Linked DNA regions of Arabidopsis thaliana. The protein of the gene in region 1 binds, or shares a complex with, the protein of each later gene. Each region holds a gene or a part of one and is shown in the gene's direction. Other genes may lie near its edges.

Region 1 (3,695 bases):
AGGCAAGAAGCTCTCCATTTATCATCATCCCCTCCACTGATCCTTCTTGTTCCGAACTTCCCTCATTGTATCAATTGGCGACTTGCAACCGAGTTTCTCCTGGAAAATAACAAAGTTAATCTCGATATACGACAAGAAAGTAAAGATCGATATCAACAGTGATAGCTGATAAAACCGAATCATGAATTGTTCAAGAAGATGAACCAAATGGAGTAATAACCTGTATCTCTGGCTTATCAACACGCATAAATGGATTTGTTTCGAGCTCTTCCTCCAGTGTTGAAGGGATTGTGGGAAGATCTGCTTGGCGCTGTTGACGGGCCCATGCTAACTTCTGTTGTATCTTCCCGTTGTTTGGTTCCACAGTTAGAGCAAATTCCAAGTTCTTAACGGTGTACTGAGAACCATAAGAAATGAATAGCGGATTATTCAGTTTATAGGCATCCATTTTTATGAGTTAAGAACTCAAAAGACATAATGAAGCTGTTGATTTTTTTACCTCATGGCCGCAGTAAACCTGTGTCGGTTTAGGTAATGCAGCCAGAGTCACACACAACGACTGATACATCTGCTCAGCTGTCCCTTCAAAAAACTTCCCACATCCAGCAACAAACTGTATAAAATCAAAGTAAACACAGCTTAATGTTTAACTCATAACTATCTCCATTTAGACATTTACAGAGATAAAAGATCTACGGAGAACATATAGGGTCCATGGTAGGGAAGAACAAGAGGATTCAGCTTAATGTTACCACTTACAAGTGTATCTCCGGTGAACACGGCTGGGTTTTCTCCTTCTTTTCCGTTCACATAATAACTAATGTGACCCTTGGTGTGACTGTAACAAGTAGATATATCAGAGGAATCAGCGATGACAAGAGAAAATGACTGAGTTAAACATCAAGTAGATTAGATGCATCTAAATTCATTGGAAAAAAAAAAAAAAAAAAAAACAAACCAAGGAGTGTGGAGAGCCAATATGTTAATATCCTGACCCAAAGTCAGCTTGTCACCATTATCAACCGCATCAGTGCAACCCTTCACCTTATCCAGAGAACCTCCATATACTTTGATATCAGGAACCAACTGCTTAATCTTCTCGTTTCCACCGGCATGATCCCTTTGATCATATCAAGCCACCAATCAAACAATGAGTGTTAAAATAAAAACGTCGCCTCAAATCCAAATTTCATCGAAGACAAAGGCAACCATCATATGGTACATATATAATAAATCTTGCATCTTCAAGAGGTGAAACATTAATGCAGAAAGTATCAGACTTTAACAAAGAATCAGACTCACGAAGATGAATCTCTAAGTCAGTTGAAACTGATAGTAGGAAAAAGCTAAACACTTGATCAGAAAACTGAGAGATTTAACAATAGACTTGTACTAATGTTAATGTCTAGGACCGGAATCTAGCATATGTCGATATCACTGAGTAATAAGAACCAACAGAGAATCTCGGAGATGAATCAAATAAGATAAGTTACCAGTGACATAGAGAGAAGTGAGGTTTACTTACCAGTGATGATGCGTAGTGAGTACGAACTTGATCTTAGCTTGGTGCTTCTCAGCCGATGCGATCACCTTCTCCGGATCAACTGGATCCACAACCGCCGCGTCTCCGGTGCTCTCATCGATTATCCTGTTTTTTTTTTACGAAGAAAGAATCCTAAACTGATGATGAACCGAGTCAGATTAAGAAGCAACGAAATTGAAGTAGGATATCAAAATGGCTCACAGATAAGAGTAGTTGTCTTGCAGACAAGGAACGTGGAAGATCTTCATCGTCTCCTTAGATCGATCGTCCTTCTCCTCCGGAACACTAGCTGTATCATCATCATCATTTATGTCTGGACTAGTGATTTATCTATTTCGGTTTACTCAAACCGGATCGAACCGAAACAAATCAGGATAAATTTTGCAGCCGGTCATCCGGTTCAATTGTAATTGTAACTGAACCGGAATCGGATAAAAAACATAAGCTTCGTTGAGAATTGTTTATTTTAGGTTTTGGGGGAGATTCGTTCTCGTACTGTGGATTGTTGTTGTTGGGATTATCTGGGAAGAGAAAAAGAAAATGGGGAAGCAGCCGGTGAAATTGAAGGCGGTGGTTTACGCACTTTCTCCGTTTCAGCAGAAGATCATGACCGGTCTCTGGAAGGATCTGCCGGAGAAGATCCACCACAAGGTCTCTGAGAATTGGATCAGCGCCACTCTTCTCGTTACCCCTGTCGTTGGAACCTACTGGTACTCTATCTCTCTTTCTATCTCTCTCATCAATCGATTGGTAAAGGAACCTTTGGATCGAGTTCCGATCTGGTTGATTGTTCTTCGATCTGTGTCATCGGTCTTGTGCGGCGCATATGGATATAGGGTTCTTCGTTTGTGTCATAGGAACAAATGAGAAATGATAGGATTTAAGTTAGTTTGAGATGAGTATTAAGTGGAGTGTAGTATATAGAGACTCTCAGCTAGAAAAAGTCTTCCAGGTATCAAATTAGTATTGTTGATGAACCACTCTGTGGAATTGCATTTCAAGATGTTGAGGATTTAAATGGCTTAGTCGTAATCATTAGCTGATTAGTGTGGTTCTATTAAAACTGTTGAGTTCTTGCTTGTGAAGCTATTAGTTACCTGATCGATCTAAACATTACGGGTGCTGCATATTATGGTCTAGTTTCTAGTCATCTTTTGTGCTTATTCTTTCAAATACACACAATGAATGCAGGTATGCTCAGTATTTCAAGGAACAGGAGAAGCTTGAGCACAGATTCTGAAGCATGAAGTCACTCCTTTTCTACAAGAACCTGACAGTTTGAAGTAATTTCTTTTGTTTCAAGCCTATAAATTTCACAAAAACTCTTGTGGGAATCTTCTGAGTCAGTTTTTCTGAAACTCTTTTGCTAAATAAATGTTTGGGTTTCATGACAATGACTCTTGTTGTTCATCTTTCTTGATATATGGTATGAAAATTGGATTGAATCGAGTAATATATTGATCCCTCAAAACAACTATTAGGCAAAATCAAACGCTGCCTATGTTCCCTTAAGACATCAACTACAAACAACTATTAGGCAAAATCAAACACTGCAAGTCTGCAACCACTCCTACAAGGTTTGTGATGAACAGAGTCGTTGGTTGGACTAGAAATGTTGTCCATTTCATCAAGTACAGTTCAGCGGAGTCATTCTCTTCGTCTAAGGCTTTTGAGGTAACTGTGAAGTTGGTGTCGATACCGGCTAGGACTTTAAGTAGACCTTGGAAGACTGCAAATTAGTGATTTATATAAAACTACACGATTTGCCGAAATTTATTTCACTTTTGTGACGCAAGATAAAATTAAGCAAAACATAATTTATTTCAAAACGATTAATATAAAATACCAAAATGTCACAAAAATCAAAAATAAATAAACACTCCCTCGACAATACTGATCACTTAACCGGTTTTAAAACCAACAAAAGGCAATCCTTTAGTTCTTTAAATAGTTTTAGATAGAACCGACGGAAACGGCAGCTTTGATGAGTAAACCAAAGAGAACAAAAGGGTTAGAGAAGAAAGGAGAATGGTCGCTCTCCAATTCGTAAACTTGGCTAGGTGGCCACCGTCTTATCATCGCGTCTTGCTGCTCCGGTTTCATGACCCGGTCGAGTAACGTCTTGATGTACACGCGCGGCACTTGCTCCTCT
Region 2 (4,902 bases), on another chromosome or scaffold:
GTTCCTTCCTTGGATCTTGCGTTAGATAGATTAGTTTAGTTTTCACTGAATTTGATATCATGGTAGAAAATTGTTTGGATGACACCTTCTGTTATCTCTTGGAATCCGTTTTTATAATCTTATGTTATTCTATGCATTAATGTTAAATGTTTGCTAGTGTTATTCCTTTCTTCTGTGTTATCTCTTGAAAATATTTTTGCTTAATACTTGGTGTTGTTGAACACTTGACCAAGTATAAAGTTTGCCCTTGATGTGAAATATTAATGTTTCATGCTATTTTCAGGTTTTGCTTCTCAAGTCATTACTCAGGGAAATGAGATAGGTTTTGGTTCGGAAGTCCCAGCCACAGTCGAAGCTGTCAAAACACCTAACTCAAAGATTGTCTATGACGACCATAACCATGAGCGTTACCCACCTGGTGACCCTAGCAAGCGGGCATTCGCCTATTTTGTCTTGTCGGGTGGAAGGTTTGTTTATGCCTCTGTTCTCCGCCTGCTTGTTCTGAAGCTTATTGTGAGCATGTCTGCAAGTAAAGATGTCCTTGCCCTTGCATCCCTCGAGGTTGACCTAGGGAGCATAGAACCAGGAACTACCGTGACAGTCAAGTGGCGTGGAAAGCCCGTCTTCATCAGGCGAAGAACAGAAGATGACATCAAGCTGGCCAATAGTGTGGATGTTGGATCCCTGAGGGACCCACAAGAAGACTCGGTTAGAGTCAAGAATCCAGAATGGTTGATCGTGGTTGGAGTATGCACTCATTTGGGGTGCATCCCCTTGCCTAATGCTGGTGATTATGGTGGTTGGTTTTGTCCGTGTCACGGATCACATTACGATATATCTGGAAGAATTAGGAAAGGTCCTGCACCATACAACCTGGAAGTACCGACCTACAGCTTCTTGGAAGAGAATAAATTACTCATTGGTTAATGAATAAAGCACAACAGTCCGAGTGTCATGGTCTGGATGATCTTAAATCTGTTTTTGTTTTTATATTTTCCGGCATTTTAGCGTGCAAGTTCGCTTTCCTCACACTTTGGGCTCAGCAAAAATTGGCTTGTTTTGCTGAATAATACAAACTTGTCATTGTATGACTTAGTATCTGTCTCATCTGGTGAAAATACATTGTTCATACTTCATAGTCTCTGTTTATTATTTGAAAAGAGTTTTGAATAGTATCATCCCTATTTTTCTTATGTTTGTAATTTTGTAACATATCGTTTGTAAGAGAGTTTCCTTTCCTTAAAGTCTGTAGCCATTATCACAATTGAGACAAAAACTTGGTAAGGTTCAAGGTGTGTTATAAAACTTTCGTGTTCTTACTGGAGACGACATTTCGAAGACCTTCAATTCTCAACTAAGCCATAAACCTTCTCTTCCATAGTGAGAAATCCAATTGTGAACCTCGAGACTACTACTTTGATGAAAGATGTCATATTCTGGTTGTGGATCTTAGCCTAATTTTCTTGTTCAGATTGTTTTCATCGATGACTACTTCTTTGATGATGTCCTTCTAGCTCTTTCTTCTAGTATTGAAAAGTTCACACAGATGTAAAACAGTCTTTTTGTTGGAAATCTTGTTTAAACATTACAACAACAAAATATATCCTTTACCAAGTATAGACCCCCTATTATTATTATTAAAAATTACGATTTTTATACAAATAAAATAATTTATCTTACAAATACACACACACAAAAAAATTATATCGTAAAACCAAAAGATTTTATTAATTAAAATTAGAAAAAAAACCATGCCATCAAAATCCTGAAGTAAAAAAATATCAAGTAATACGCAAAAACCAAAAAAAACAAAACAAATTGACCTTTTCTCAAAGACAATTTTTAAGGGACTTACTAGTAAGTAGTCTCTTATGTTTTGTTTTGCATCGGCCGTCCCAAACCTGAGGATTTCTCTGTTCAGCTAGAGCGAAACCCTAGATTCACATTTGAGCTGAGAGATGCTGCGTGTAGCAGGGAGGAGGCTTTTCTCTGTCTCGCAGAGATCTTCGACTGCGACCTCCTTCGTCGTCTCCCGTGACCATACCCTTTCCGATGGTGGCGGCGACTCCTCTTCAGCTCCCAGATCCCTCCCCTCTGCAGATCTCTCATCTTACCACCGTAGCCTTATCAGAGGTTTGCCGATTTATAACCCTTTCCCTCTCTCTCTACATTGATTTTTCATTTTCGGTGGTTCTTTGCAGTTTTATTTGATTGATTGATTTTTGAAAAGGTCTTCTTTTTTTGGTTGTATGATTCACGGGAATGATTGAGATTTCTAGTATTGTATCTGCAATGATCCGTGGGAACAAACGTGTCATCTGATTTGAATTCCATGAGCTTGATGTACCATTTGGCTACATTCTTCTCCTTGCTGGATTTGTATTGCATTTGATGATTACTTCTTTCGTGTGGATTGTTCAGTTCTGAGATAATCCTTTGTTTTACTAGGAAAGTTTCCTCTTTTCGGTGCGTTAATCATAGTATGATTCACCACTGGCTTCTTGGTTTTTGAAATTTGATCTTGTGTATCAATCCTTTTGAGTTCTTCATTGTTAGGGACATGGATGTTTTAACTGTATACTATGTTTGTAGGATTTATAGCTGTTTAAAGGCATGCTGAGGAACTTGCATTCTGAAATTTATGTTTTCTTAACCAAAGAGCTTTGTTTGTTCTTAGCATTGGAAATTTTGTTGTGTTTTAAGCGTTTCTGTAATATACAGCATCTGATCAATATATTTTTTTCTCTTGGTTTATTACGTTGGTTTTAGTATTTAAGGTTTCACTGAATTTGTTATTATTGATTTGTTTGGATGAATTTGGTATACTTGGCTTCTCTGATTCATTCTTTCGTCCAGAAGGAAATGAACATTTGAGTTTATTGATGGATTATGGATTGACCTGTTTAGATGTAATTCTTTGGTTGATGACTAAAGCTCCTTGCTTGTAAATCATTGGAATGCGTTATCCATAGTGTGATTCACATTGGCTTCTAGATTCCAATTTTTTGTTCTTCTGTTTCCATGTTGATCATTGAATTTGTTCTCTTGTTTTTTTTATGGAGATTATCGTATTTAAGTTTCCACTCCCCGAGTTTGATACGATGGTTTGAATTGTTTGGATGGATCTCATACTTCATGGAATCCGTTTTATGTACTTTTGTTTTTCCTTAGAAGATTATACATCAATGGTCACATCTTGATTGTGGTAGTCCTGTGGCTTATTCTTATTCTTGTAGAACACTTGACCAAGTATAAAGTTTGCCTTTGATGTGAAATATTAATGTTTCATGCTATTTTCAGGCTTCTCTTCTCAAGTCCTTGCTCAAGGAAATGAGATAGGTTTTGGTTCAGAAGTCCCAGCCACAGTCGAAGCTGTCAAAACGCCTAACTCAAAGATTGTCTATGATGACCATAACCATGAGCGTTACCCACCTGGTGACCCTAGCAAGCGTGCATTCGCCTATTTTGTCTTGTCGGGTGGGAGGTTTGTTTATGCCTCTGTCCTCCGCCTGCTTGTTTTGAAGCTTATTGTGAGCATGTCTGCAAGTAAAGATGTCCTTGCCCTTGCATCCCTTGAGGTTGACCTAGGGAGCATAGAACCAGGAACTACCGTGACAGTCAAGTGGCGTGGAAAGCCCGTCTTCATCAGGCGAAGAACAGAAGATGACATCAAGCTGGCCAATAGTGTGGATGTTGGATCCCTGAGGGACCCACAAGAAGACTCGGTTAGGGTCAAGAATCCAGAATGGTTAGTGGTTGTTGGAGTGTGCACTCATTTGGGGTGCATCCCCTTGCCTAATGCTGGTGATTATGGTGGTTGGTTTTGTCCGTGTCACGGATCACATTACGATATATCTGGAAGAATTAGGAAAGGTCCTGCACCATACAACCTGGAAGTACCAACCTACAGCTTCCTGGAAGAGAATAAGTTACTCATCGGTTGATTAATAAAAGCACAACAGTCAAGAGTCTGGATCTGAATGATGATCTTCACTTGTTCTTTTTTTCTTTTAATTAATATTTTCCGGCATGTTAGAGCAAGATTGACTTGTTTTTGCTGAATAATACAAACTTGTGATTTTTGTTTGAAGTATACTCAATCTTCGTTTATCCATCGCTAGTAAAAGACGACTATGTTCATAGTCTGTGTTTATTATTTAACATGCCTATTTGTCCTATGTATGAGTGAGATTCCTTTCGTATCTCATAATTCTAAACATCGTCATTCCAATTAAAAAGTTGTATTTACATTTGAGTTTCGATAGTATCTCAACGTTCATAAAAGAAAAACTAAAGGTATGAGAAAAACCAACGTAGAAACAAACAACAAAAGGTAATATATCAGCTTTGATTGATAGTTTACAGGAAGATAACCGAATAAGTTCAAACTGTATTCGTAAGACATCCCGTGAATGAATATTCAATCATCCAAAAGTGGCATAGCTAGATTTTTTCTAGATTGGCTAAGAACACAAAAACATAATATTTTATTCTGTTTAATCTTTTTTAGTTAAGAAAAAATGTTTGACACACAAAAGCCAAAGTTTGATTTGGGTAAAAACCATTGTGGGAGATGAAAATGTTAAAATCTTGTTTGTTTTGGTCACCAACAACGGCCATGAACTATATGGGAAGTGACTTATCTCTTGTAAGTTGTTTTCCTTTTGGGATATGGGAAGTGACTTCTCCGACCCTTGCAAACTAACAACGGCCATTACACACTAATTACAAGCCAAAGGTCCTCACTAAGCAACCTCTCGTGTTTATCATAAGACACCGCTCTATCTCTTATTATTTTATTCATTGTTTTCTAATTTCAGACTGATTAATCATACATTAGAGAAAGTTTATTAAAACCATCTGATGTAAAAAATCACATTTATCTAAATTAAATAAATTTGT

The links.
Region 2: the proteins of AT3G10860 (region 1) and AT5G13430 are in contact, whole or in part, in a cryo-EM structure (PDB 8BEL), measured with the Arabidopsis thaliana proteins. Residues at the interface, in NP_001327236.1 of Arabidopsis thaliana: Tyr13 (codon at 2,120), Ala14 (codon at 2,123), Leu15 (codon at 2,126), Phe18 (codon at 2,135), Gln19 (codon at 2,138), Gln20 (codon at 2,141), Lys21 (codon at 2,144), Ile22 (codon at 2,147), Gly25 (codon at 2,156), Lys28 (codon at 2,165), Asp29 (codon at 2,168), Lys33 (codon at 2,180); in NP_568288.1 of Arabidopsis thaliana: Tyr93 (codon at 3,402), Asp95 (codon at 3,408), His96 (codon at 3,411), Asn97 (codon at 3,414), His98 (codon at 3,417), Glu99 (codon at 3,420), Arg100 (codon at 3,423), Tyr101 (codon at 3,426), Asp105 (codon at 3,438), Pro106 (codon at 3,441), Ser107 (codon at 3,444), Lys108 (codon at 3,447), Arg109 (codon at 3,450), Ala112 (codon at 3,459).

Annotation. Positions count from the first base shown.
Region 1 is NC_003074.8:3,397,732-3,401,426, forward strand, and holds AT3G10860 (Cytochrome b-c1 complex, subunit 8 protein), read left to right. Parts: upstream 1-1,843; 5' UTR 1,844-2,083; coding exon 2,084-2,253; intron 2,254-2,734; coding exon 2,735-2,783; 3' UTR 2,784-3,024; intron 3,025-3,080; 3' UTR 3,081-3,195; downstream 3,196-3,695. Other genes in the region: GLY2 (Metallo-hydrolase/oxidoreductase superfamily protein), read right to left, coding at 25-99, 221-397, 500-613, 760-838, 959-1,120, 1,526-1,648, 1,745-1,791; MES17 (methyl esterase 17), read right to left, coding at 3,497-3,695. UniProt on the Arabidopsis thaliana protein: Component of the ubiquinol-cytochrome c oxidoreductase, a multisubunit transmembrane complex that is part of the mitochondrial electron transport chain which drives oxidative phosphorylation.
Region 2 is NC_003076.8:4,304,456-4,309,357, reverse strand, and holds AT5G13430 (Ubiquinol-cytochrome C reductase iron-sulfur subunit), read left to right. Parts: upstream 1-1,787; 5' UTR 1,788-1,958; coding exon 1,959-2,133; intron 2,134-3,300; coding exon 3,301-3,944; 3' UTR 3,945-4,252; downstream 4,253-4,902. Other genes in the region: AT5G13440 (Ubiquinol-cytochrome C reductase iron-sulfur subunit), read left to right, coding at 284-927. UniProt on the Arabidopsis thaliana protein: Component of the ubiquinol-cytochrome c oxidoreductase, a multisubunit transmembrane complex that is part of the mitochondrial electron transport chain which drives oxidative phosphorylation.